Arabidopsis thaliana: one gene and its partner. The protein of the gene in region 2 interacts with the protein of the main gene of each other region in a pairwise test. Each region holds a gene or a part of one and is shown on either strand. Other genes may lie near its edges.

The links. The genes of interacting proteins can lie anywhere in the genome.
Region 1: the proteins of AT1G29960 (region 2) and AGL77 interact in a two-hybrid assay, tested with the Arabidopsis thaliana proteins (one large-scale study listed by BioGRID).

The regions. Positions count from the first base shown.
Region 1 is NC_003076.8:15,512,683-15,516,438, forward strand, and holds AGL77 (AGAMOUS-like 77), read right to left. Parts: upstream 1,624-3,756; coding exon 343-1,623; 3' UTR 261-342; downstream 1-260. Other genes in the region: AT5G38730 (Tetratricopeptide repeat (TPR)-like superfamily protein), read left to right, coding at 1-9.
Region 2 is NC_003070.9:10,492,661-10,496,416, reverse strand, and holds AT1G29960 (Peptidase S24/S26A/S26B/S26C family protein), read right to left. Parts: upstream 1,791-3,756; 5' UTR 1,605-1,790; coding exon 1,479-1,604; intron 1,404-1,478; exon of another isoform or gene 1,391-1,403; coding exon 1,166-1,390; intron 853-1,165; coding exon 742-852; intron 614-741; coding exon 566-613; 3' UTR 212-565; downstream 1-211. Other genes in the region: AT1G29950 (basic helix-loop-helix (bHLH) DNA-binding superfamily protein), read right to left, coding at 2,201-2,956.

The sequences.
Region 1 (3,756 bases), on a different chromosome or scaffold from region 2:
GTATTGTGAAGTGAGCCAACATATCACATTTATATATATGTACTTTAAAAGACACTAATAAGCTACGTAGTACTTGTTGTTTCTAGCTACTATAGAGTGAAAGAATACTGGTGTAGATATCCTCTGCATCAATCATGATACAATAATGACCTTTATGGAAAGTGAAAGTGCATGTACTGCTAAATACTATCCAACTAATAACCGTAAACAAGCTGTAGATCTGAATACATTTCAACAACAACAACAACACATCAAATTAATCATAAGAAATTAACAAAAGTCTGCATAACCGTAACCGTAAAGTTCATGCTGCATGCATTAACTGATTCAACCCAAAGTTGTTCACAGATTCTTGTACCGCCGAGTATGGTCTGCGTTTGAGACCCAAGGATGTTGAAAGCTGTTGTTATTGATGTTACCCATAGACATGTTTTGATGACAACCATAAAACTCCTTGTGCATCAACTGATTCAACCCAAAGTTGTTCACAGATTCTAGTACTGAGGCGCAAGTAACTTGAAAATTGTTGTTTGTGATGTCACCCATGCTCATGTTCTGATTCTGATCATAACCACAAAGCTCCTGCTGCATCAAGCCAGATTCTTCTTGTATTGAGACTGAAAAATCTTGATTGAAATTTGATGCAGAGAGTGGGATTTGAGAGAAGGTAGCATCTCCATGGTTACTCATGCACATGTTGTGCTCATAACCACAAAGATCGTGCTTCATTAACTGATTCTTCAACCCATAGTTGTTATTCACAGATTTTTGAACAGAGTAGTAATCTTGTGTGTTTGAGACAAAAGAATGTTGGAAGTTGTTGTTGGCTGAAAAATCTTGATTGAAATTTGATGCAGAGAATGGGATTTGAGAGAGCGTAGCATCTCCATGGTTACTCATGCACATGTTCTGCTCATAACCACAAACCTCCTGCTTCATTATCTGACTCTTCAACTCAGATTGTTCAAGTAACGCTGAGATATAATCCTGATTGAAATTTGATGCAGAGACTGGGATCTGAGACAGAGTATTATATCCATGGTTATACATAAACAGCGAGAACTGGCTAGGGTTCAAAGATTGGTTCAGAGAAGATATTGATGTTAAACTCTGATGATCCGGTTTTGTCTCATTCTGTTTCTGCGACTCAAGAAATCGAAGCCTTTCTTGGAATTTAGAGACATTGAGTTCTAAGGACTGAGTCAATTGAGAAACTTGGTCGGGAGAGTAATGATCAGCGAGTGGATACTTTAAAACATTCACGTTCTTAAGACTCGTCTTCTTCTTCTTGTTCGGATTCTTCAAACCCTTGTTCTTCTTCTTCTTGTTCAGGAACCCATGAAGATTAACGCTTTTCTTGTGTCTCAAGGCTTCGTTTAATTGATTAAACCTCAGAGCAATGTCTCGCACTTTCTCTCGCTCCTTAGGCCATGTTTTAAGTTCTCCGTCTGGTCCGTAATAGATGACGCAGGCTTCGATATCACAGAGAGTGCAAAGCTCTGAAGCTTTCTTGAATATAGTCTCAAGTCTGTTAGACAAACTTGTGGAAGCGAGTGAATAAGAAGAAGAGGAAGACGAATTGGAACAACGAGAGGAAGAAGGTGAAGATCGAATGGTCGTCATCTTCTTGTTGATTTTGAAGACAAACTCTCTGTGTTTGTTTTCACGTTCAGAGTGAAGAGAAAAAGCTAATGAATTAGGTTAAGGAAACCCTTAGATATGTCATATATTTATAGAGTTTTTTTTGTAGGCCTGCGAGACAAACTCGAACCGATAATTCCGAACCGCTCCGAACCGAAATTTTTGGTTCCGGGCTTTGCTTCGGTTAGGAAAGGAAAACCGATCGGAAGGTTTGTAAATTATGTTTGGTTACCCAGTGTTTCGGTTCGGTCGGTTAACCGATATATTTTTCTTCCTCTGCTTTCGTCGGAACTCTTCAGCCGCTGGCAAGCTTCTCTGGTTAGGGTTTTCGTAGAACCTGACAATTTAAAGAAGAATAATCAAAACGCTACATTTCAATTTTGGAATCGGTAGTTAAGAGGCCAAATTTTTGTTTTTTTTTACTAGGCTTGGCCCAAACGTGTATATTTTTACAGCGGCCCAAACTATTATATATTGGACCTGTTCGTTTCTGTGTCGCCTAATTTGGTCACTTTTAATTTTCATTGTATAGTTGAAAATACGTAGTTTGGGTTGGGAAGATAACATATAATTGCTTCGATCTAATTGGGTTGGACTTAGAATTAATGTCACATTTTAAAACCAAAACCAAACGAATCTAAATATGTTCATGAGATCACAGTGGTTAGGCTTTAACCAAAAACATTCAGGCCTTCACACTAAACCAAAATGTTAAAATCCCGGTTAAGCTCAAACTTGTTGCACATGATAATCATGACGTGTCACAGCTGGAATTTCAATTTCTTTTTTTCGAAACATGTCTTAGTCTTGGAATCTTGATTTTTCAAATTTTGAATTTTTCTATATAGCGGAAAAAATTGGAGTTAGACCGTTTGAAGAAGAAGAAAAACCTCTACAAATCTCTCTATGATATCTCTCACTTTTTAGAAATCCCTAAATTTTAATTTTTTTTGCAAAATGTCTGGAGAAGTTTTTTTTTCTCCGGCGATCTTGCTTGGTTCACCGACGAATTGTCGGCGACGATCATGATCCAGAAATGACGATCTCTCACTTCGTCTAGGTATATCGATTATCTGGTTAGTTATCAAACTCTCGAATTTAGGGTTTCTTTGAGGCAATTCCGATGATTATGAATTCTCAATTCCGATGATCTGTTTATGAATTGTGTTTCTCTGTTACTTGATTAGTTGATTCGATTACTGTTACAACACCTCTCGTTCTTTGTTTATGTTACTTAATTTGTTCCATCGGTGTGTTAATCTTTTGGGGTTTGATTTGTCTCGATCAATTTTGTTATTTCCTCCTCAATACCATCTACGATAGTTTTGTGATTCGTTTGATTTGGTTTTGTAAACGATCGCGAGATTGGGATATCTGTATTAGGTTTAGATTTTGTGAATGGGAATCAAAGATCAAGTGGTGTTGTGATGCTCTGTATCTGGTATAGATTTTGTTCTGCATCACTGTGTTTCCGGTTTGGTTCTTGGTCTGATTCTTTTGGTTTACTTTTCTATTTTTTACAGATCGTTTTGCCTGAGAACAAGAAGAAGATGATGGTTCATCATAGTTAACCAAGGAAGCGGCTCTAATCTTAGTTATGTTAACAAACACAAAGTGCCTTTGGTTTTGTTCAAATATTTGATCTATTCAATCTTTTTCTCCTCCTTGATCTTTTGATATTGGTCTTTGAATATGATGTTAAGTCACGTTTCTTCTTCAGGTGCAAAGTCCAGAGCCTAGAATGTGGCGTTTCTTAGAACTCAGAAAACAGAGAATTCTGGATTCGCAAATCAATTGAAGAATGTGTATACTTACAGGCACTTATTCGTATACACGCCGGCATTCATACATTCATACATACATACACGCCATGCATTCATACATTCATATATACATACACGCCATGCATTAATACATTCATGCATTCATACATTCATGCATTCATACATGCTTGCATTCATGCATCCATGCATTCATGCATCCATGCATTCATACATACACGCCATGCATTCATACATTCATGCATTCATACATACACGCCATGCATTCATACATGCTTGCATTCATGCATCCATGCATTCATACATACATGCATACATGGATTAGTTGCGTACT
Region 2 (3,756 bases):
TTTTTATAACCAATTGGTAAAAATTGTGATAGTCGAAACTACGATTTTAAATAACTATCAAATATGTGGGAAAACAGAAAATAAATCACAATGATTGTTTTAAAAATTATTTGACACACAATTAAGAAAATCCCTACAGTTTGGCTTGACAAACTTGACGTTACCACCAATTGGTATCACCATGATTGATTTAAGTGAAAATAGAGCAATCTTTAAAATGTGGGGAAATGCTATTGATCAAGTAGTATTTTTAAATGGTTATAAGATTTTCCCATGAATAATCTTGGCTTCACACAAAACATTCGATGTTTGTTTTAACTTTTTGATACAGAGGCGACTCTCACATACAGCGTCAGACCAAAAATACATAATGTTACGTGCTCTCAAGTCTAAACCATATACTCACTTTTCCTGAGCGTTTAGATTCTCCCATCTTCGTGAATGGTATGATGATCCTGCATCTCATAGTCAGTCATGAGCCAGACTCACTCGGCAACAACGATTAACCATACTACCAATCTGCCTCGGTCATCTCATTGGCCTAATGACCAAGCTAACTCGTATGCTAAGTTGGGGTTGGTCCAAGCGGTCCAAAATCTTGAAATGGCCAAACCTACACATTATTATACATACCGAAGATTAGCCAAATAGATTTACCAAAACAAATGCAAATAACACATTTGAAGTTCCGAAATCAGATAATCTAACTATATTTGTAAGTTAATGACAAAAAGTTTATACCCTCCAAAGCACTCTGCCTTGAATAAGACCGTAAGGTACAGTACCAAAGTTTCTTGAGTCTCGTGAGTTATGAGTATAGTCACCTTGAACAAAGACATGTCCTTTAGGAACCTAAAACCAAAAAAACATCGAAAGATCAATTCGCCATTAATCCAACAAACTAAACAATCCAAAGGAAATTGTAATATACACCAATAACACTAACGTTGCTAAAAGATTCAAAATTTTCCATGAATTGCAATCAGCTAAATCGAGCTCAATACTAATTAACAACTTGTTTCAACTCTGATCACTCAATTTCTCAACAATGTATCTACCTTCTTCAAACTCAGTTCTCTAAGTACAACATTCAAAAATCTCATCCATAAGCAAAACCAAAGTGAAGTGAAGTCAACAAGGAAGAAGGTTAAGTAACAAAACATACCACAATGGTTTGAGATTCATCACTCTTCCTTGAATCAATCACAAAGCTTATACAATCACCTTCAATACCAATAACTCTTTTAATTGGAGTCTTATTAGGGTTTTCTGGAGATCGTATCACAACTATATCTCCACGACTCGGTTTCTGATACCGCTTCGAGATTCTCTCCGCTAATAACACATTTCCCGAAGGATGAAGCGTCGGAGTCATGCTCGGACCATAAGCCTGCTCAAAAAGACTACATCTTTATGGTAAATTTTCAATAACGAATTCGATTTACACCAAAAAAGAAGAGAGATTTCGATTGACTCACATAAGCCATGAATCCGAGATAGTTTGTTGTTACATGAAGAAAGCAGTAGAGTTTCGCGAGTAACACGCCGCTTTTCATGGCTTCTCGTGAAGCTGTGTTCCAGAAAGACGACGACGGAGTCGCCATTGCCTATTTCTTCAACTGAATCCAACGAATCGAGATTTGAGAACTACACAAAGTCTGCAGATTTCACGAAAGTGTGAAGCTTTGAGACGAATCGTTGAGCTATACTGTGTAAAATAAAATGTAATCATAACCCAATTTATAAACCCGGTTATTTAATAACCCAGTTAATTTCCATCAGAAATTGAATTTTGGTTACGTATAGGACCCGTTTTATGGTATAAGCGTGACTTTTCAAAATGATGGCCCTTACATTGTTCAGTAGAAGGAAGACCAAATGTTTAAAACTATGTAGAAGCAAATACATAATGATAATTGTAGTTCATAGTCAAATGATTACAGTGAAAGTAAAACCATACAAATTAAAATCTCAAATCAAATCCACAAGTACTTGTTCAAACCTTGCTTCTTCATCGAAGCAGTAACACACAAAAAGCAAAATACATAGAGAGATTCAAACATAAAATAGATACCATCCTGCCAACAAAAGGAAGTGAGTATAGAGGGAGGAAAATAAAGAGAAAGGTCCAGATAGCGCTAGACCGATGATTTACCTCCCGAGAAACAATAGTGATGGAAGAACCGAATATCGGTAGCATTCAAGATTGGTTTGAGAAATGTCCAACGCCAAGTTTCTGAGCTTCGATTTTAAGTGACTTGAGATACTGAACAGCTTCATCAAGAACGCAAGCTGTATTCATCTGTTCTCCTCCAGGGACAATTCTCCTCAATACTCCCATCATCTTCTTCATCTTTTTACGTCCTTTCCCATCATTGTTACTACTACTAGCACTGCCCGATAAACTCTGCTTCCTTGAGTTGTTGTTGTTGTTGTTGTTGTAACCATAACTGGAACAACAAGATTCTGCTGTGGTGTTTCCATAATCCCTGGAAGAAGTACGAGCAGTGCTGACTTCTTCTGAATCACCACCATCCTCTTCACCTTCATTATCATCATTCTCTTCATAATCTTCATCTGCGCTCAAGAGAGCATCGATCTCATTTGGATCTTCTTGATAAGAAGAGGATACTTCTTGCTCATAGTTACCATAGTTACCATAACTTCCCCCAACATACTCGTTCTGAAACGTCGAAGCTAAATTGTTCAACGAAGGGGTATTCATGAGCTTATGAGTCAGCTCAGGATGGTACATCACTTGGCTGCGGTCATATGTTTGATCGAAGATGACAAAGTTCTTTGGACAGACCGCAGACGGTTGAAGTTCAACACCATGGTATGGCAACTTTGCACATGGTGGGAACAAAGCATCATAGGATGACCCTGATGCATACGGGTTGTGCATATTTCTGTCACCCACTTCATCTGAGAAGTGAGGAAACTGATTGTTCTGCATCAGAAAACCCGTGCAAACGTAAAAAAGGAAACGCAAAGAGAAAAACAAGTTGTACACCTCAAACTGCAAGCTGCTTGAATATTTTCTACTACCGATTTGTCGCCTTTGTAAGCTTCCAGCTGCTCAGTTACTACTACACTAAGTTGACACACGGAACCAAATGCTATATCAAGTTATGGCCATCATACTAAAGATATCACGAGTTTCCACCAGAGCCCTTACCCCCCAAACCAGAAGCTCCCCCACAGACAGCTCTTCAGAATACCAGACTCTTTAACAACTCACAGTAAATTTTTTCGAAATCAAAAGTAGATAGCCGCTCAAAACCCCAATTTCCGAAAACTCCAGACGCTAGACTACGTTACAGGCTTAAGCAACTGTCTGAAATATTCAGCCTGCAATGATTTATAAGAAAGGTTGAATATCAGAAAAACTATGGTTAATACTCTAACAAATAGCTATCCACATGTCATCAAGAGGATAGAGTTCTTTTAATGACATAAATCAGTGTTGCCTAAGCGATAGAAGTGTTAGGAAATACTAAATCAAAGAGAGGCATGTACCTGGCAAACTTGAACGGATTGGTAATTAGCAATGAAACATGTAGTCATCATAAAAGTTCCTATTTCCTTCAATGATCGGTTTCCCTTCTTGTTTCCAACAATGCACATTCTCACAAACTAACCAGTATAATAAGCACAACAACAAAGAACTATTCCGAATTCCGGAAACAACACCTGCAAAACAAGGAAGAGATGCCAATAGTTTTAACACAAGAAGCTGTATATAAGGTGGCAACA